Lepisosteus oculatus: one gene and its partner. The protein of the gene in region 1 interacts with the protein of each later gene in a biochemical or structural test. Links are inferred from orthologs where the notes say so. Each region holds a gene or a part of one and is shown in the gene's direction. Other genes may lie near its edges.

Region 1 (11,301 bases):
GTAGATGACTAGTGGAGCGATATCTAAATGACTTCTCTGAAGCAGAATTCATCACGTATTCTTTAATTAACATAACCAAAATGTGCAGCGGAGACTTTGACAATTTTAAATATATATATATTTATTTTTCAAAGTTATTATTCCTGGAAAATATATATGGGGGAAAAACTCATAAAACGGAATTACCGAAAAACAAAAAGTATTGGGTTTTAAAGTGGTAAAGTGCCAACTCCGGAGCAGATATTTTATTATTCAGCGTGCATTATCCTATTTTTCCTTAAACAAGAAATAGTGAAAAACAACAACAACAACAACAACAACAACGCACAACTGTCCAAAATTCGTTGGCCACAATGGACTGGACGCAGTACATAGCTCATTGCCATCTACCGGTAGTGGATACCATACACAGATAAGCAGCATCCTCCAGGGGGCGCCCTTGGTGTTTCTAGGAAATGGAAGCCGACAGGTATTCAAGTTTACTGGCCGTTACATACTGTACATCGGTAAGCACCCTACATTTACTATTATTGACAACACAGCAGATAAACTTCGGAGACTTATTCATTTAGAAACAAGATGAATCACGACACATAAAATGTAAAAAGGGAATGTGACAAGTACCCTCAACAATTGTTTTTCTAAAGTACATGCACAGAACACTAGTTGGAAGGCTTTTGTTAAGAAAAGGAAGATATGTCAGTGTGCTAATAAACTTCTGAGATGTGTTCCTCATTAGACTAAACAGCATTTTGCTAAGGGGGGTGGGGGGAACAAACATTAATATGACGCAACGTTCTGAAACAGGAAAATATCATCATTCCCATCACCCAGGCCTTCTGTTGGGTGAATATTGACATCCAGTTTTTGATAGTGTAGGTCTACATCATACTATCTCTTTTTCACTCTTTCAGAAATAGGTTTATGGCTTTCTAATCTTTACATTTAATTGTGCTGTAAGTCTTCCTGTGACAGGTGTTTTATGGCTAAAACACTACTGTGCATCATTTGCAATAAAACAAATGGAAAGAGATTAGCACTCTATTTTTTCTATCTCTCCTACTAGAGGGCTACATTCTAGCAGGTTTTATAGGTCTCTTCATCAGCATCACCTAAGAGCTGGAAAAACTATAAAACTGCTCTAATTAAGACAATAATTAGCTCTATTAGCATTACAAATTTTGCTAGAATGGAAACCTGCAGGACTGCACTCCTCCTGGAGTCAGAGACCCAAACACTGCATGATAACCTTGTACAACACATCCGGAATAAGAGTAAAGTGTTTTACTAATGAAGAGCAGTAGCCAGAAGGTCATTTCCTCAGCATTAATCCAGTTTTTTGGTTCTCCTTCCAGCCAAACCTTGTCTGAATTAAACCTATTGAACTTTTAATCAAACTATTTATTTTTTAATTGTTTCTGCAATTAAATAGTAAACAAAGTTAGTAGATAAATTAAGTTTTCCCAGAGGCCAATTAACCTACCAGTAGGTTTTGGACAGTTGGAGGGAACCCACATAAACAAATTGGGAACATACCAACTCCATATAGAGAGGACCCCAGGTCTGGGATTAAACCCAGAGCCTCAGCACTGACAGAAATTTCAAGAGCTGCTCACTGTACCACCATGCTGCTCTAGAAACCAGTCAACAAGTTATAAACCATTAACAATTATTATCATGGGTGTGTGTTCCCATATGTTTCTGTATATTATTAACTCTTGTTTTACATGTCATCAATTGTGTGTGGAGACAGCTTTAAGGTCCTCAGCATAAGCAAAAATGTGATTTGGTTTCTTTCTCTAGATTAACTGCACCCTTGCATCAGTAGCCAACAATGTGAAACTAATATATCTGCTTTAATCCAGAATCGAGAGCAAGACCATCTAATTCCATGTCTTGTAGCAAAATTGTGTTTCTCCTTACAGGTTTCCAATACAATACATACGCTGACATGGCTACAAAATACCTGACATAACTAGGTTTTAAGGAGGAAGTGCTGCTGAGGCTGGTCACCAAAGCCTATTAACAATTTCAAACTTGTTAAAGTACTTCTTCAGAATCCATGGATTTGTGAACCTATCTTCCAGGTTCCAAAAAGGAAAAAAAAATCAAATAAATTAAAAAAGATACAAATTTCTTACAAGTTGAGGAAAAACGGAGTGCCAAGCAGATGTTACGCACTGGTGTGAACCAAAGGCCCAAGCCTGTTCAGTTCATGTTAGTTTAGTAAAATAACATCTTTGCAGCTAGGTCTTCCCAAATATGATGACGAGTAAAAATAAAGCTGATCTGCCTGTGAATTATTACCTTGTCTCTGATCTTTTCCTCTCTGTAAGGGTGGGTTTCTGTCAGAACTTCTTACAATTTAGGAATACTGTAGAACACTGACCAATATTTACTGTTCTCTATACAAAAACCCATTAGTTAATTTGTCTTTTGCTTATTAGTTCTAAAACGCTTAATGATAAAGTTCAAACTACATAGCTAGCGCTATACAAATTTACAAGAAAAGGTACTTTTTTGTTGAATCTGTTATGCTCATTAAGAGGCTAGAGGGTTTTACTTTAAGGGATTTTTGAGCATGTGAAATGTAAATTCTCAAGATGTGATGCTTTTACAAATCCCCAGCTAACACTAGAATATGTAGATACTCAACCCTAATGAAGTGTTTAATCATTATTCAATCAGCACAGTACAAAATCACTGAGCCCACTAATGCCCACTACAGCTACATTATATTCATAAAAATTAACTGAATTCTTTATATCAGGATCTGAGTTGATCAAGGTGGTGTTGAAGATGACAGCCTATAACCCTTGTAGACCTGGCTCCTGTGAGTGTGTCAGGCAATCTCTGACAGAGCTCTTCTTTTAGAAGCCGGCAAAAGAAAATCTTTAATACTCTGTATGAACAGACATGGGCAGCACAGTGGTGCAGTGGTTGGCATTCTTGCCATGTAGTGATAGGGCTCTGGGTTCAAATCCAGACCTGGGACACTATCTGTGTAGAGTTTGTGTGGGTGTTTCCTCTGGGTGCTCTGGTTTGGTGTGAGCATTCTGAATATATGTCTGCCCTGTGATGGACTGGTACAGTATGTACCCTACCTTGGTGTGTTTCTCTGGAGAAGGACATTAAAATGCATTCTGGATAATGCCTTCAGATCACCTGAATGCATTATTGTAAATAAATTGCATTTTATGAGATGTGCTGGAACAGGCCCATTTTTGTTAGTCAATGCATATTTTCATCTAGTTTGCAAAATTTAGTTTGCCGAAAAAAATCATTAACAATTAGGTACACCCCTTTGGGTAAATAACAATTGAAACTCCAACTTCTCAAGCTTTTTGCACATATGCATTTCCTGTTTCACCACACTGTTCAGCTGTCGTACTGTTTGCAGTTTAAAAAGTTTTAAAAAGTTTGAGCACTTTAATTGGGAAAATAACCAATTTTGGCAGACATCAGGGTACAGAGGAGTGAGTAAGTGTTCGTATAAACAGTGAGTGTTGCAATGAGCAGCTATTAGCCACAAGTGGGACTAGTAGGGGCAGGGTCAGCTGGCAGTCTCTGACAGAGCTCCTGGGCACTAGACAAAGATGTTTTCTCTCATGTACTACCTACAGTACACCTACTACAGATTAGATTATGTCACACAGTAGTTCCCATGAAAATATATTGCTCATGTCTTACTGTATTTGAAACCTTGAAGTTGTTTACAGTATTGATTTAACAAAGGATAGTCACATTTTGGTCTTGGGGTCTTGCTGTGTCTGCTGGTTTTCTAAATGTCTCCTCAAAGCCCCAGCACCTGGAGAGACCAAATTGGTCCAATTAAGGTTAATGAGTTGATTTAAGTGATTATTTGGAATTTAATAAAACAGCACACATACAAGCCCTCAAACACCAGAGCTAGACACTCCAATTGCAAAAGATGTGTCATCAACAAAGGTAAAACAAAGGAAACATTATTTTAAACTGTGGTGCACACATTTGTGCAAAACAAAGGAGAAAGAGATGAATGAGCAATATTGTGCAATGTAACCAATTACACAGACAGCATAGCTTATCGCTCAACACATAAAACTAATTACGATTCCTCTGATGGTAATTGACATTAATGTATTTGCTAAGATGGAAAATGTGTTTGAACAGTATGTTCCATTTCCTCAATTTGTTTTATGATGTAACCAAATCCAGCTTATTGTTAAACATTCTTGTTTGTAGCTACAGAACAATCAGTGTTTTATCTGTTGTTGTACCTGAATCTACCATTATGATTCACCAATTGATTTCCCATTAAACCTAAACAGAGAGTTATAATCTCTGATTATATAATCAAGTGTACAGTATAAGGGGCTATAACTTGGCTCCTTTGGTTTAAAGCTTTTAGTATTTGCCAGTGATGGTCAGGAGCAACACAAAGGCAGCATTTCTGTAATTGAAGAAATTCAATTACAGAATTACAAATACTTGCAATCAATGGCTCTCTAATGAAATGGTAGAAACAAGATGAATGTACTGTATCAACTTGAAAACCTTCCCCACAAACGACAGGATTGTCACATGTACCACCAGAACAAGTAGGCTTTGCTTACCTGACACAGCACTGAAAAGTAACACACTATTCTATATCATGCTCCTCTCATAAAGGATACAAAAGCCACTTCAAAAATTGTTACCAAAAGTCAGAAGACCAATAACTTCTCATTAATACTCCCTTTGACAACACTGTTAGCAATTTAAACTGTGAGGCATGGTAATAAACCCTGGTGAAAAAAAAACCTTGTAGCTGGACCTTTAATATTTAGTACTGAATTAGAATAAAAAGATATTTCCTGAGACCCACGGGAAAATACCCCTGTTGTCAGTTTGCAATAAATGAATTATTTCTCAGCATTTTAAACCTAAATAAAAGTTAAGTCAAATACATGTCGCTTGTTAAAAACATATTATCCTGTGACTGTCAAATTATTCAGATTATCCTGTATAAATTGAGAAAAAATTATAATTTGAATATAATTATCTGTTGTACAGTGGTTAGTATTACTGCCTTGAAGTGTTGGGTTCAGTTCTGGGCCTGGGGTGCTATCTGTGTGGAGTTTGTATATTCTCTGGGTGGAATTTGTGTTAAATTCCACAGATGTTTTCGCCCAGTTTTCTGCTGGAGTCTGCCTATACTGTGTAGCTTCATTGGTGTCTGGAATAAATGGGCCTGGTGTGAGTGTATGTGTGCTTGTGTCTGTGTGTGTCCTGTGACTGGCATTGCGTTGAGGGTGTATCCCCTCTTGTGCCCCTCACTTGCCGGGATAGGCTCCAGTGCCCCTGCAACCCTAAATTGGATGAAACATCATGGATACAGGATGGAAGGATAATGGATTAGGACAAATACAGTCAGCTGGCACACCCTCCCCTTATAGCATAACAGTCTAGCTTTGCTTGTAGTTTTGAATGTTATCAGTATGGTAATATTAAAATTATATCAACTTCTAGTGCCAATATATCATTCTGAAAAATTATACCTATTGCAGCCCTGAATCACCTACCATTGTCAGGGATATTGGGCTGTGAATGTTTGTTTTCTGCTGAAAATCCGCCATCTGTTCTTCCAATAAGCTGCTTGTTGTTTTGGAAAGGGTCAAGGAAACTCAGAGTACAGGCTGCTAGCGTGACTGCCCCCTTGGGGGCAAGCCATTGCATCACAGAGTGCACACATACAGGGACAATTTAGACCCATTTAGAATTAAGAACACACTGAGAACATGCAGACTCCATACAGAAGGCACTGCAGTGGGTAATCAAATCCGTGATCTGAATGCTTGGAGGCAGCACATTCCCTTGTGCTACCTTCCCTCTGAAGATCCCAAAAAAGTCATTTTAATGATTTACTGTGCATTGTCATATGATTAGATCATTTTCTTTCAATTGTCTTCTTTTTGGTACTTTGTATGGTACCTCCTATTAATATTTTAACTTGTTTGCCTTTCCTCTTTATCACTCATTGTTTGCCAGATTACTGGTTCCTGATTATATTTTTAGAGAACTGAAAGCTGTAAAACACATTAAGCTTTTCTACTGTGCAGGACCATGTCACTCTTTCCAGTGTAGCTACATAATGCACAGTATTATAAATCTAGATAAATCACATAAGCAAAGTACTTGTCTGGCCTTTCAAACAAATGTGTTCTCAAATGGCAAACATAAGAGGCAGGGCTTTGCATGTCATATACAGTAAGAGATCCTCCCCCTTAACATGCCTCTGAGTTAGAAAGCTTGATATATTTAAAACTGTGTCACTCCCCACTAAGCTGCAGACTAAGAAAAATTAAGAACTTGTTTCTTTCAAAAACAAAGGAGAAAAGCTTCTGGAAATACCAGCTCATCTTGACGCAAGAAACAAAAGTACACGTTTTGGAAGAAATAACAGAAACAACAAAGGTATGTTAATGCATTTAATTTTTTAAATAATAAGATCACTTAAAGCAGAGGGTGTTAATTCCAGTTCTCTGTCTAGAGTCCTCCTGGGTTTAGAGATATTTACGTTTAACAACTGAACAGCTAATAAAAAACAATTAATTTAAATTCTTAACAAATAATGTGTTCAATTAAGGTCGTAAATTCAATGTTGGAATGAAAACTAGGACTCCAGACTCGAAGGACTGAAATTAACTGCCCCTGTATTAAAATGTCAACTTATGCAACTGTTTACCATAAAACCTGAAGGAAAGGTAATATCACTGAGGGTAAATACTATTTTTAAGCAAGAGTAGATCAAATTATGCAAGCAAGATTTTTTTTTTAATTATCAGCTGCCATAAATGAACATCTGTTTATAACTTACAGTAAAAGTGAATCAAAGATTTGTCTTATAACTGTCAGTAATAAAAAGTATGAAACAGTGGCTGCTGGTTTTTAACAGCATTTGCCATGTGTTTGGGATATATGATCAACTTTGTTGGTGCATTCTTCTCAAAGAGTGCTTGTGGTTATTTAGTGTGGCACAGGTTCTTAAACACTGTCAGCAAATGCTCCATGATATTCCTTGAGATTTCATCTTTTGTACTAACATGCCAAATGTGCAGATTGTTACCTTCCAATATGTTGTAACACGAAGCCAATGATAATATTATGATTTGCCACAGCTGATCCTGCATAAGTACTGTGCTATAACCAACAAAGCACACCTAAAGTGTAGTAAGAATTAAGGAAAGCAGAGTGAAAGCAAGTTAACTTATTGTATGTTTCAGAGCACAACCATGCCAAATGTACCATATAAATGTTCCAGGCTTAATAATAATAAAAAATAAGAGCAATAACTTTGCATTGGTTAGACAAACTATATTACTGTAATCAAATCCTCAGATTGAAGAACTGTGTCAAAATCTGTTTTCACAGCAAGTGGTGTGTAAATATACCACAGAAAGAATTCAAAAGCAAATGTTTGCTAATCTTCACGTCTTGTTTTTTTGTAACAGTTACTTATGTCTTTATTATTTAGTGTATGTCAGATTTCTGTCTTTCTCTGCCATTACTACCACAACTTCTCAGTGAAAGAGATTGATTTTTCTTAAGAAAAACTCTGCCCTTATACTTTGTGACAGTGCTGTGCTGTCCTCTTTCAGCCTTAAAATGTGGTTAACGTGACTTTTATGTTATATGATTACTTGTTTTTGTCACTTCAGGTAAGTATAGAAAATCAACAAAGCCTTCTTACACAATATGAAGGGAAATCACTCTCAGGTCTCAGAACTAGATATTTCTAGCAATTTCCCAAAACTGACAGTTACATGATTAGTTTTCATTACTCGAAGGGGGTTGATAAAAAGACGATTGATACAATCAGTAGATATTATTTTGTTATCAATCATGTTATTTTGTCCAGGACATTTCAGTATACAATAAGGAGCACATTATAAACAATCACAGAAATTTAGTATTGGAATGTTAAAGACACAACGATTAAATATTGGCATCAACTGCCGGAAGGTATAAACAAATCAACTTGGAAAATCTGAAGTTATTGCAGTCCTGAAGCAACGTCCCATTGCTGACAAACAAAACTGTGATTTGTTTATTTATTATATAAAATAAAAAAAAACAGCAATATTTTGTTCACTTAAAGTGGTCCTCTACATTTGGGGTGACAGGATTCACAAAAAAAAACCTTGAGGCTTGTTCTCCTATAATCACTGTTAATCATTATTATGTTCTTTACTTGTAAATGCCTTGTGGTTTAGTGTATCCGAATGCCCATGTTTGCTATGATGTTATACAAATGCAAGGAATTACTAATTATTACTAATTCTTTACACACTGGGTCCGTCTAGATAGCTCTAGTCTATGATTCAGTTCATGTTCTGGATTACATAAATCTCTTAAAATGAAAGAGTACTGATTGTAACAAAAGTGGATTGTATGCATTGTGATTGGGCAATGTATAATGTTTATTCTGGCCAATTCTAGCAGATGACAATAAAGTGACTAAAATGAATATAGCAATTCAGTCTAAAAGAAATGATAAAAAGATCTGTCAGTACTACAACATCAAAAGTAGAGCAGCAGATGTAAAATGTATATAGGACAATAACTTCTAAACTTCTAAACAATGAGAGGAAAGTGGCTATAATGAGTATTTTACATAGGTATTCATTAAGGAAGTTAATAACATGCCTCTGGCAGCAGAAGAACAAACATCTGTATTAATTAGTATAAGCTGAGAAGAGAAAGGTGTTTAGGGTAATAGGAGAACTCTAGATTAATAAATCTCCAGTGTATCCTGCTAATTGAATTTAAGGAAACAAGAGATGTCATGCATAAGCAAGTTCCCATCCATAAAAAGGTGACAAAACTTAACCAATTTCACCAATAATTCTGAATTCTGTTACATGTAAGGTTTGGAAACACAAATTAGAACTAGAAGATCAGATATATGCAAATAAGATCTTAGAGGACGGACAACATTAATTTAGAAAAGGTAAGTTGTGCTTTAATAACTAGTTGCACTTCTTTGAACAAACAACAGTAGGAATGAAAATACACTAAACATGCGATATAGTTTGTTTATTTTATTTCTGATTTTCAGAAGGTTTTTGATAACTTTCCTCAAAAAAACATTTTCAAATTACAGATGGGAGGCATTCTGAGAAATGTGAGGGGGTTGAAAATTGATTGATTAATAGAAAACAAAGAGTACAGATAAAAGGTGAATGCTAAAACTGGGATGATATAAATAATGGAGTAATATAGGGATTATCATAAGACCACTGCTGTTCCTAGTTCAAAACATTGATCAAGACTTTGGTATAGTTTGTAAACTAGTTGGTTAGGTTTTCAGATGATACCAAAATAGGATGATTAGTAAAAACTGTACCGCAGCAAATGAAATAAAAATAGATACAATTCAAGATTGGGAGCATAACAGGCAGGCAGCAAAGCCATTAGCTATAAATACAAAGTGGGAAATGCTACATGTGAACAGGCTACTCGTGTAACAAGATGCAGGTGTTTACAGTATGGTGAAGCACAATTAACATAAGGTAGATAGATTTAAGGAAATGATGAGGGGAAGTAATTTAAAAGACCAGACAATAAAAAGGATGGGTTGTCAAAATAGTAGAAGTTAAATCAAGGGATGTTATGTTAAAAGTCCTCATTTAGAATACTGTGAACTATTTTAGTCATGGACTATGTTACAAAAACGATATTGATGCTGTGGAATCCATCCAGGGAAGAGCAACCTGTTAGTCTGAGGTTTTGTTGACCTTAAAGCATATTCACCCCCTCTACTTAATCAAAATACCTTCTCTCAACAACCTCCGCCTGAGAACCTGGCACAATTCCACAAACCTGGCCAACATTCAACTCTATATGGAGTTCTCATTTTTCAGTTCATGTCAGATATTCAAAACTCAATAGATGTTTTGTTTTTTTTTTTGCATTAAATTGAAAATGCTGTTGTAATATAATGTTTAAATGCGACATTTCCAGATGGATACATCAGTGTATTGTTTTGCTTATTTTTAAAATGAATGATTGTTTGGTTGGATAAATCATTTATTTTTTTCCATTCTCAGTTTGAAAGATTGTGAAAGTGGCTACTAAATCAATTCGAGTGCAAGGTTATATGTGAATAGATGTTATTTTTTGTCAGCATAAAAAGTTTTTGCAACTCTACTATACTTAGAATATTCTCATATCTGCTTATGAATGTTAATATATTATACCTTCCTTCTAGAAATATTTCTAAAGTTTCTATGATTTTTTCCCCTGAAGATACATTCCTCAAAAGCAACATGAACTTTTCCTGTCTTTGAAAAGCAATACTGTATGTCCCCCTGTGCTCAAACTCTTAAGTCCTGTGCAAACAGCCATAGAAGGGGTGATGACTCCTACAAAAAATCAGATTCAATCTCTACATTATGTCTGTGGATAACTGAGTTGTTAAAATAGAGCTGTGGTTGTTGTGGATCAAGTACAGTAACTCTAAGGGCAATTTTACAGTCCAAGCAGGTCTCATTTAAAGGCCTTTATTTTATCTCTATTGATGAAAACATGTTTTATTCAAGTCTCCACATTATTGTGATTCTTGATCTTTTAAATACTTCTTAGACTTTCGCTGCTGCTGGACAAATGATCCAATGATTGGACAAATGATGACCAATTATTTGGCATTGTATCATTACTGCACCCCCCTATCCTTTTGAATGGAAACCAGGGATTTAACCTTCACACTGTAACGGGATGAACACCTGAATTTGTTGCGTCAAAGGGAGACTGATTCTTCATAAAATTCCCCCCTGTATTTTGTTGTCCAACACCTATAAGACAGGTCGTAGAAAACAACAATATGAAAAAAATTGCAAAAAAGTCAACTTGTCTGTCAATGTGGATCTTCAATCAGGCACTGTTCTACTCGTTGTGACATTTTTGGGTTCAGAAGACCTTACTATACACCTAGATACAATCTATGGTGCAATCTAAGGTTAGCGCAAAGAAAATAATCAGAATTCCTCAATACAATTCATTCAGATTTACCAATTTCCTGTTCCATTATACTTTGTAAGGTCTTTTTAATAATCCTAAACACAGCCATGGCCAACCTCCTGTGTTACTTTAAATGCCAAGACCGAAACAAAGAACAAAGACCAAAAATATACAGTTTTTAAACACAGAATGTTAAAAGGCATACATGCTATAGAAATGTTTAAACACCAAAACAAAATGCACAATATAATATGCGAGAATATCACAAATTATTTCAGTCAGCCGAACTTGTCACTGCCAGAGTCAAAACAGGTCTGCTGT
Region 2 (10,234 bases), on another chromosome or scaffold:
CTGAGGCGGGGAAACGTGTCGGTCAACCTGTACGTGGTGAACGAGTCCTGGCTCTTCTCTCTGCTCTGGTGCTCGGGGGTGACCTCCGTCACCACTAACACCTGCCGCCACTTCAAGAACATGACGCAGCCCGCCTGGATCCTCGTGAGTACTCCCACACGCCCCCTTCCACGCCGCTCACTAACGTCCGTGAACAGTGCTCGTGCAGCATCGTGGACTTCTTCTTTCAACAGAGAGGAGATACTCAGTGCATACCCCACCCTGGTGCATGAGATGACATCAAGCATTAAAACCCCAGTTCCACTTTAAATCTGAATGCATGATAGGACAGATGTACTTTTTTAAAAATGATCTGGGCTGGTTTGAAGGAATTTTCTTTTGTTAGCATTTCCGTGAGCTTGACCACGGTTTTGAGGTTTCCATGTTTTTAAGATCACTTTATTGGCATTTCTTGCATTAAGAATTTGTCTTTTCAAATGACCCCCAGCTTGCTCTCCATGAGACACACAGACAGGGAGAGAAGCTGGGGGTCAGAGCGCAGGGTCAGCCATTTATACGGCGCCCCTGGAGCAGTTGGGGTGAAGGGTTTTACCCAATGGATAGGATTCCCCTGCCGGTCACAGGATTCGAACCGGCAACCTTCCAGCCACAGGCACAGACTCTCACAACCCTTTGGGTCAAATACAAAAGCTGGAGGAAACTCGGTTTACTGGCAAAGAATTTGTAGCTGTGGTTTCCACAGTAGACTGATGGCCAGCCTCTGTGTGCTCGTGTTTTCAGGCTCCCGATACCTACACTATGCTCTGGATCACCGTGGACTCTGTCTTCCTGCTTGTCATCCTGGGCCTGTTCCTGCTACAGAGGTGAGTCCCAGAGAGGCTTGGCTTTTTAAAACCTGCGGCCCTGTGCTTCGGTCTGATGGGCTGACACCCGTCAATTAAGATAACCATCGATCTCTAATGAGACACTCACTGAGCCCAGGCTGAGCTCTGTGTTCCTGGCGCTGGGAATCTGAGCTAGGGTTACTAGCTCTCCCAGGCTGGACTGGGTTGGGATTAGCCGGTCAGGACACTCCAGTTTCCAGTGATCAGCAACACCACTGAATTCCTGAAGGCCTGTGGCTTGCGATATTGCATACTGCATTATGATAGGGGAGACATTGTATTAATGTTTACTATAAACATTTTACAAAATGTTTATGTAGGTGTTATCAATGATCATAAGGCATTGCAAAATTGACATGCATCCCAATGTTACTGTAGTGGTGCCTCACTGAGAGAGGTCTGCTGAGAGAGGTCTGCTATTATTATTAAACGCTTTGTGACCTTTTGCTGTCTGTGGGTCCAGTATTGGTTTACAAGTGCAACCTGACCGATCCTGTTTTCTGTCTCTGTTTTTAAACCAGGCGGCGTTTCACTCGTGGGACTGGTGAGTACGCTTCATTACCATTTCACATACAGAAGGAGTGTAGGACAGCAGACCAGAGACACAGAAACTCTGTGCTGCACTGCCTGGGTCAAGAGCTTGAAGGAGGGGATTTCTCTTGTGTCATCTGTGACTCTGAGCATATCTGACAATGAGGAGACTGTAAGCTCAGTGCTTTCTCTTCACTGGTAACAATAACACCAGGTTCAACATAAACTGTATGCTTGTTCACAGGTTTCCTGTAAACTGTGTTTGGGCAGACATACCTGATTATTCTGTTTAAGATTTTTACACGAACAACAAAACAAAAAAAGGTTTATCTTACTTACTGAAAAAATCATGTCAGTTTAATCCTTTTATGTTGGAGTTTTTTAAGAGGACAAAGGTCCTGCTGGAACACTACTGCAGTAAATGAGATATTTGCATGGATCTGGACATGGGAAGGGTAAACAAGAGAATCCCCTGCAGTGTCTGTTGAAGCCACTTGAAGACTTTGCTTGTTTGTAAGGAATAATGCTGGGAAAAGAAACCCTGGTGGCAATGCAATGGAACAATGTGTCACAAGTCAGAGCTTTAGCCTGCATGCAAGTGGAGTGCACTGAGTTGCAGCAAGGAGGAGACACTGAAATGCTCTGTATCCGTTTCTCCACAGAGAGCGAGGAGCACAGAAACGGGTACTCAGTATGGAATGAGCAAGAACTGGACACCTTCTTGTGAAAGCCGGGCCGACGACAGTCTGGTTCTGGGTTCTACCTCTGGGACTATCTAGGATTCTCTCTTAAGCATCATGCACTTTCTGGGGAAGGAAGGCACAGCTCTCTCATTTGGGGAAGGTGACATTTTCTATGGTGCCTTCCAAAGTGTCCGGGCTGCTGGGGGCTGCCTCTCTACTGAAGTCTGTTTTTTGGGGTACACGGGTCTGGGGTAACTGTGACTCTCTTCTCTAATGGATAGAAGGTTTCATTGCAAATGCACTGGTGTGGGTTGATTGTCTGTCCTTCAAGCACTGAAACCATGGAGCAGAATGATGTGGGGGATGTGCATTTTGGGTGATTAGAAAGCCTGCTCAGGCTTTGCACTGTCATTATTTCAAACAGAAACACATGAGAAAGGACTAACATTTCAGGTTTATTCTGGAAACAGATTCCATTTGCATCTGAACAGGAATCAATGTGAAATTTCCTCAGAAATATACATATATACAGAGAGCTGTATATGAACCACATTTACCTTGTCAGAAGAACTGTGTCTAGCACAGACATTTCAAGTGGACATTTGTCAAATTCTTTATTTCACTTAAGTCCTCCTGTCAGGATAATGGTCAGACATTTAAGGATACTGAAGTAGTCAGTCAGTCGAGTGTATTTCAGCAGATAAATTGTTTTATGACGTTTGTACAGAAATGGACTTCTTAAAGTGGTTTTCTACAAAATATATTTTTCCAATTAATGTATCAGTAATTTCATTTTTAATTAATGATGTAGCAAATTCAGTTTTTCAGAGAACGGATTTAAAATGCATCCATTGCTAGGAAATTAGTCCACGACTTGTTTACTGCTGAAGCACCACTTAAACAGAATTGCACTTTCCACAGTGATCTTCTCAGGGACAGCGTGGCGTGATGCACACAATAGTAAATGAGGGAGACACAATACGTGTCAAGTGTTGTGAAGTCTTCAAAGCTTGTCATGAGCCCCATTTAACATACGACCTTCTTAATGACACTTTCTGTGGGTGTGACATAAGGCATTTTGGCCCCTGATGCAACCAAAAACTGTATCCACAAAAATGGACAAATGTTTACTGGTTGCCTATTTGCCTAAAGCGATTTGTTCCATGTTTGTAACTGTGTTAGTTTAGTATTCAGAGGTTTGTTCATGTTAATTTCAGTGTGGTCGCTCTTTTGATGTTTCTCGGTAGACAGTATGTATTTGAGCTTTGAGGGTATATAATTATTTTTTGGAGGAACATTTGATATATCAATGACATTTTACAGTATATTTTTTAAAAGACACTATTTTTTTTACATATTTAGTGCCTTCCTTAACTACCAGCACTCTACCTGTGTACAGATATTATTGTGAAGTCTGTATTATGTTTTGCTTATATACTGTGAAACACTGGGCTGTTCTGGGGCTTTTTCCTCCTTCCTGCTGTCCCTGCGTTCACTGCGAGCCACTCACTGTCCCCGTGCACAAGTCAGATGCTAGCGTCTTCATGCTCCGAAGTGCCTCTTTGTGTGCTGTCTCCCCCTCAGATTACCTGTCCAACTAGGACCCCCTGTGGCTGCATGAAAAGCCCTCAGTGTTCAGTCCTCCACAGCCAGAGTGTCTTCCCTGGCAGCAGTGCTGGTCAGCCTGGTCCAGGTGTGCCCCTCGGAATGCAGCAGGTTTCCTGCAACCTTAAAATCCGACACCTGGAAGATGGGCTAACTCCTGCCCAGCGAGAGCAGGCGGGCCCTGGTCTTGCCCATCGCATGCTGTGCATGTGTTCTGAGCAGAGCCTCCCTCTGCCCCCGCCAGAGATGTGGCAATGTGTACCCAGAGCTGGCTCGGGAATTTCCGATTGCAGATGGGTGACTGAATAGTCCTGGTTTTCCGTAAACGGTTCAATATCCGTCTTCTGTATTGTGATTTTTCTCTCCTTCGTGGCAATGCACTGTTTCACCGAAGCTGCAGAAAGGGGGAGAGGAATCACACAACGACCTTGAGGCGGTAAACAAACATTTCGGCTCACCGGAGGCTGACCGCAGCCCCACTGCAAAGCCTGTCAGCGTCTCATGCATCCTTGAAGGGTCCCTTGAAATGAGCTGGGTTCCCATTAAATGCTTGGAAACTATTTCAGACATTAACTGTTTGTTCTAGGCATTCTCTGTGTGCAAAGTGTTCCCTGGGTCTGTGAAAAGGAAGTGATTTTGAAATGTTTTTTTTCTCTCAAATAAACGTTAGAAATTGAGTGTATAAAATGTTTACGGTGTTCTTTTGTCTTATAAGATCTGCCCACTCCCCAGCACCCAGAGCAGGAGATGCCTCCTCATCTTCTGAGACTTCTGCTCATTTGGATTCTAGTGTCTTGTTGTTCTAAGTCTACGATTTTCTCCTTCTTAAAGGATCCACAGGCGTACAGTAGCTTCTCACAACTTCACAGCCATGACTAGGGACTTGGTTCCAATTCCCACAATCCTCTGTGCCGAGAAACGTCTCCTGTTTTCTGTCGTGAACATAGCTGGGTTTATTTCCCACTCGTGTCAGGCCCCCGGGGCTGGCCTTCTCGAACCGCGGTGTTGCGAGAGCAGCACTGGGGAGCAATGACGTCGGCAGCACATACGCGTGGGACACCAGGGTGCTCTGTGGGGGTGTTCTGACATTGTTTCGTGGAAGCGCGTTTCTAGGTGGCTCGTCTGCATTTTTTTCCACGTGTCACTGTCACACCGAGCGGTTTGCACGATATAGGTGCTCCACAGGGACCAACGGATTTGATAAACAGGCTGTAAGCGCTTGTTCCGCTTCCTCTAGTTTTTAAAAAAAGACAGCATTGATGTACTGCGGCTCGTCGCCACTAGATAGCAGCCACCGCATATTCCGTTTCTGTGCATCTGAAACTCGTTTTAGAAAGACTTTCAATTTATAACTTTGCTACAACGGCACAATACGTTCTGTGTACAAAACTGATTGTATTTCTGAGACAATCTTTCTTTGCGGGTACAACCTGAACGGTGTGAACTATATCGGAAAATGCAGATTAAAGCTGAAGGAAAAAGCTCGGTGTGAGTGAATCGTCGAGTCCTCTTTTACTCTCACACAAAGATATAATCAGAACAGTACATTTCTACAACTATTTTAAGCGAACGAGTTCTGTTTGCATCTGCTTTTTTGAACAGTTTTACTCTCCGGATTGAACATCAAGGTATAGTAAATGCTGCGCTCTCCTCGTAAACATAACAGGTCTACAAACCTACCGCTACTCCTCCCTTGAAAATAGAAATTCTTTTTGTTCCCAGATCAAAAAAGAAACGTCTAATTTTACGTTCGTAGCTCTTCAACTAGCATATCCCGCAGAGGGTAAATGCGAGACACTTTGCATTTTTTTTTTTTGCTTTCTGCCTTTCTCATTATGACCGCAACAGGTGTCAATGAAGCGTGGCGGTGAGTGTCTGGTCGAGTGCGTTTCCAAAACTTTACGCACCGCGAAGGCGGCCCCCTGGCGGTCGCTGTCCGGCGGTGCGGGGAGCTAAGGAGGCGATCTGCTGGACCCACCCTCCCCTCTCCCCTGCGTCCCAGAGCCGTTCCCACTCCGGGTTCCACACTAAGGACGCCTCGCAGGCCGGGGGCTCGGCGGCCGCACACTTTCGCTCTGACACGGGGCTGATCTCTCGTCCCCGGTACAGCCGGGAAAAAATAGCTCCAGCGCGGCGGCGGCGGCCACCGTGTCTCGGTCCGTCCTAGGAGGGTCGGGCAAGGAGGCAACTTCGAAGGGAAACCTTTCGCGTCGACTGCTCTTTTTTTTTAGTTTTGGGTCGCCGGCTCTTCCGAAGTTGCGAAAGGAAGTTATTAAAAAAGTTTGGGAAAGCCCGTGAACATAACGAGTAGTAAGCTCTCCTGTCCGCCCCTTTGCCAAGTGAGGTTATATGTCTTTAGCAAGGTTTAGGGGTGCCGAAGAGACAACTTCACTCGGTGAAACGGTTCCCTTCATCGTTACATCGCTTTCACGTCATGGTACACAAGTACGGTAAGTGTGTATGATACGGCTGTTTTATGTTGTCGTTGTTGTTGTTTTGCTTAATGATTTTGTTCGAACTTCTAATAAAACTTCACAAATGCCGGCGAGATGTTAAAAGGGCCAGACACCTGTTCCTGAAGTAAACCTGATGGGAATGAAAACGCTAACAGCAGATGGCACTTGCGCTCAGTATTACTCAACACATTCCGAGTATGCTGGAGCGGTTTGAAGCCAGACGCTCCTTTCGCAATTCTCAAGGGAAACAGGAAGTATTTTTCCTTGGAAAGTTTCAATAATCCGCACGGTGCCAGTGCAGCGCGGTTTTGCGAGAGGCCGGGAGGGGGGGTGTGGGCAGGGACGGACGCGGAGGCTGGGCGGCCGCTGCCCCCCCAGGTGAGCCGCTACCTGAGGCGGGCGGCCGACACCTGCAGCACGGGGCTGGAGCGCACCGTCACGCCCCTGCGAGCATCCCGGACGCGAGCACGCACTGCGGGGCTGTTATGGTTACAAAATGCCAGATGTTCTTGCCTATGAAGTGGCAAACCAGAGGGCAGAGCTTTTGCATGCATCCCCTAATATTTACCTCCCTTGCTCTGCTTATACATCCGCATATGATGAGTATTAAAACAGTGTACTGGCGCTTTCACCTGCAGCTACAGCTGCTACTCCTGCAGCTGCCTGTCGGGAAAAAAATCTACAGATTAGTGCTGCAGTCCCTACATTAATTTAATACTGCTGATAACAGTAACTGCAACTATATCACTACTGGGCAATGTAACAGTACTACTTTAGCTGCAGTTTCACAAAAAATGGTTTGGAATGAAGGCACTTAAGATCTGAGTCTCCGTGCACAGATCAAGGGGTAGCTTTGTGCTCACGTGGGATGTTTGGTGTGGAATTTTGTCCTCTTGTGTGAATGGAGCTGCCCGGGAAAATGAGGTACATCTGTCCCCAGGGGTCATAGGTCAACAAGACATGGGTAAGTGTTGTCGTGAGCTTCGGAAGCAGGAGGAATTTGGCTCACAGGTCTATTAAGGAATTAGTGCTGCTCTGCAGGAGCTATGGCTTGTGATACACCACAAGTCTAGGTTTTTTAAATATTAAAAGTCACTCCCTGAGAAAATCCACAGGCTGAATTTTCCACTGGAATGCTTGCCACAGAATTGGCAACTGTATACAGAATACTACTGTGTGAATTATACATGTTATCTAAATAATACGCTGCTATTTTGGCTTTAAAACACTTTTTCCTAGAGATATTTAACTGATTCTGGCCCAGGCTGAAGAGTCAGTCCCAGGCAGGGAAGTGTGGACTCCCTCCCTTAACTGTGATATTGATTTCAGTGTGTTGGGCTGCTTTGTGTAACATCCCTTAACAGCAAAGCAACACAAGGGAACCTGTGTAAGCAGTCATACACAACTGGACTAAAGACCCTAAAACTGCCAGAGTATCAGACATGTTCTGATTGTTAAAAGGACGTTCCCAGACCTGGTTCGTTTGGAAATTAAGTATTAAAGAGTGAACTTGCGGCTGCTGCATTGCAACCTCCGGGGCTGTGCAGTTATTTCAGCGTTCGTCTTCGACTTGGTGTGCTGCTCGGCTCCGGCGACAGAGGTGAGCTCGCCCCTGAGTTCATGCAGCGCTGCCAACCTCCGTTTCCAAGTTGCCCTCTGGTGGGAAGCTGATAAATGATGCACCCAGTGCTTTGCACAGTGTGTCACGTTGTCGCATTTTACACCCTGAGACAGCAGATTTACTCACAAGGTTCGCTTCCTACAGAAATAAGCATGCTGAGACCTGGTTTGGACTTGTAATAAGAAACTGACACAGGTGTTTAATAATAGTTAGAATGTTGCTAGACATGTCCTATTTTAACTAGTGACAGAGAGGTACAGAGCACTTTTTTTTCTGTGTGACCTTCAGATGAATGCAGCCCTGTACCTGTTTTTGGTAGCCTCTTTGCTCCTCTGCTAGCCGTGTCCGTGGCTCAGGGTGACGAATGGCTGAATGACACTGGCCTGCGATGCTTCCTTTTGCCTTGTGTGACTCCTTTGTCCCCTGTCCCGCAGACACTCAGAGGGCTGTGAGCCTGCTCAGGCAGTACCAGGCCAGCCTCACTGGCCCGGAGGAGCAGCCTCTGAGAGCCAGCGTGGGCAAAGTCACCGCCATCTTCGGCAGCCAGCTGTTCCAGGCCCTTCTGGGTAAGCCTGTGTCTTGTCCGTCTCCTTCACTGGTGAATAGGTAGATGAGCATCAGTCGTACAGAGCCACAACATTCCAGCATGCACATGCATGTGCTGTATCACCCATCCACCTTGTGGCTGATCCGACCATCTCATCCACCGGCTTCTTGAAAGAGGCCGGGGTGTCAACTTTCGCAACAGAACTGCGCGTGCTCCCACAGCCCTCTGTGGAGTGAGGCGCCCGCTGTCCTCGGGTTTTAAATGCACTGCCCTGCGGTCTCCACGTGAAGAAATTTGTCAATGAGCTTCAAGAATCGGAGTACTTGAAACAGGTCCCCTCATGTTCTTCTCTATTCAAGACAGAAAATATTGCGCTATTCTAGCCTGTCAGGGTAGGGCATTCATTGATGTATCTGGTGGCTTTTCTCTGGTCTGACTCCAGAACAGAAAAAAACTTTTTTGTTACGTGGTGTCCAAAACTGTACACAGTATCCTAATTGAGCTCTTAGTGGTGCGCAATACAAATTTAACACAACGTCCCTTGATGTGAATTCTGCACTGTTAATATACATCCTAATCTCTGTTAAACTTCTATTGCTTCCCCTCTAAGACGTTTGTCTTTAAGACAAATGATAACAGCTTAAAGACTTTAAGCCTTTTTCATAGACAGCATCTTCTAGCTCAGTGTTTTTTTCTCCCTGTGTGTAATATTCTGTACTTCTCTACATGAAATATCCATGCCAGCGTTTGCTCAAACACAATTTGTCTGTCTCTTCGATTTTCCTTTGCCGATCCTGTACTGTTTTTATACCAACTGTGACTTGACAAGTTTACTACCTGTATCAGAATTTAGATAGATAGCTGGTCTATTGATATATTATTTGATACGTAAGAACATAAAATATGTAGCTGTGAATCCCTATGGGACTCCACTAATGACACTCAAGTACAATCTTGATAATTAAGTTTTATGTTTCTGCTCTTTAACAAGAACAAGAATAATTGAAAAAATAAATACATGCTAATCATTGGTTTTATCCAATAAAATATTCACAAGGCTCGTCAAATGTAAAAATATATGGTACTATGCGGTTACCTGCCATACCAATACTTTACATATATTTGATATTGACTTACTGGGCATTAGCTCACAACACTGATCATTCACAAACCTATCTTTTTATGTTTTTCTGTAATATTGATACATGTAGAAAGTGTGTTTTGCAAACTGTATGATCCTTCTGCCTGTCACGTAACGACCCCAACCCTCTCTCTCTGACACAGTACAGTAGTGCACCGCCCCACTGTCCCCAGGCCCTGTCTTCTGCAGTGAGAGAATTTCATTCCTCACTTCGGGAACAGCAGGAACCTCCCTATCAGCGAAAAAGTGTTTTTTTTTTTTGTGCAAGTGCAAAGAAACTCTAATGAATGCTTTGCTTAAACTTTCCCTCATTATTTTAAAAAGGGAAAGAGAGAGTTCAGGTTCTCCCCATCCCAGTAATAAGCCTTTGGGAGAGCACTGCAGATTTCCTTGCTCTTACATGATTAACGGCTCAATAATAAAACAAAGATAAGCTGAAACTCGTACTAATGCATTATTAATGAGTAATAAATTATCCCATAAATAGCTCCTGCGTGGTGCAGTGCAGTCATTACCTGCCTCTTTGTGCCCAGCACTAACTGCAAGTTAGACATTCACTCGCGGGGCTCCCTGGGTGTTGGAGCAATCAAGCACAAACTCGCAGCACCGCCGCGGCTCGCATCGTAAGAGCGCCCCCTTACCTGGAGAGCTCCCCCGCCGTCGCTGGCCCTTCTCCGTATCCTGCCGCGCCAGATTGCTCCATTACTCTGACTTTTTTTTTTTTTTGGTTCCCGCTAACGTTGCAAAGTTTATCAGACTGTGGTGG

Evidence for each region.
Region 2: the proteins of cysltr2b (region 1) and dlg3 interact in a test that uses a peptide from one of them, tested with the Homo sapiens proteins (2 studies listed by IntAct, with this or other methods). The link is inferred for Lepisosteus oculatus from reciprocal best matches to the Homo sapiens genes CYSLTR2 and DLG3.

The regions. Positions count from the first base shown.
Region 1 is NC_090700.1:17,325,090-17,336,390, forward strand, and holds the start of cysltr2b (cysteinyl leukotriene receptor 2), read left to right. Parts: upstream 1-6,284; 5' UTR 6,285-6,435; intron 6,436-11,301. UniProt on the Homo sapiens protein: Receptor for cysteinyl leukotrienes. The response is mediated via a G-protein that activates a phosphatidylinositol-calcium second messenger system.
Region 2 is NC_090703.1:49,924,381-49,934,614, forward strand, and holds the start of dlg3 (disks large homolog 3), read left to right. Parts: upstream 1-5,611; 5' UTR 5,612-6,137; coding exon 6,138-6,153; intron 6,154-8,214; coding exon 8,215-8,346; intron 8,347-10,234. Other genes in the region: glycerophosphoinositol inositolphosphodiesterase GDPD2, read left to right, coding at 1-144, 781-863, 1,406-1,428, 2,078-2,142. UniProt on the Homo sapiens protein: Required for learning most likely through its role in synaptic plasticity following NMDA receptor signaling.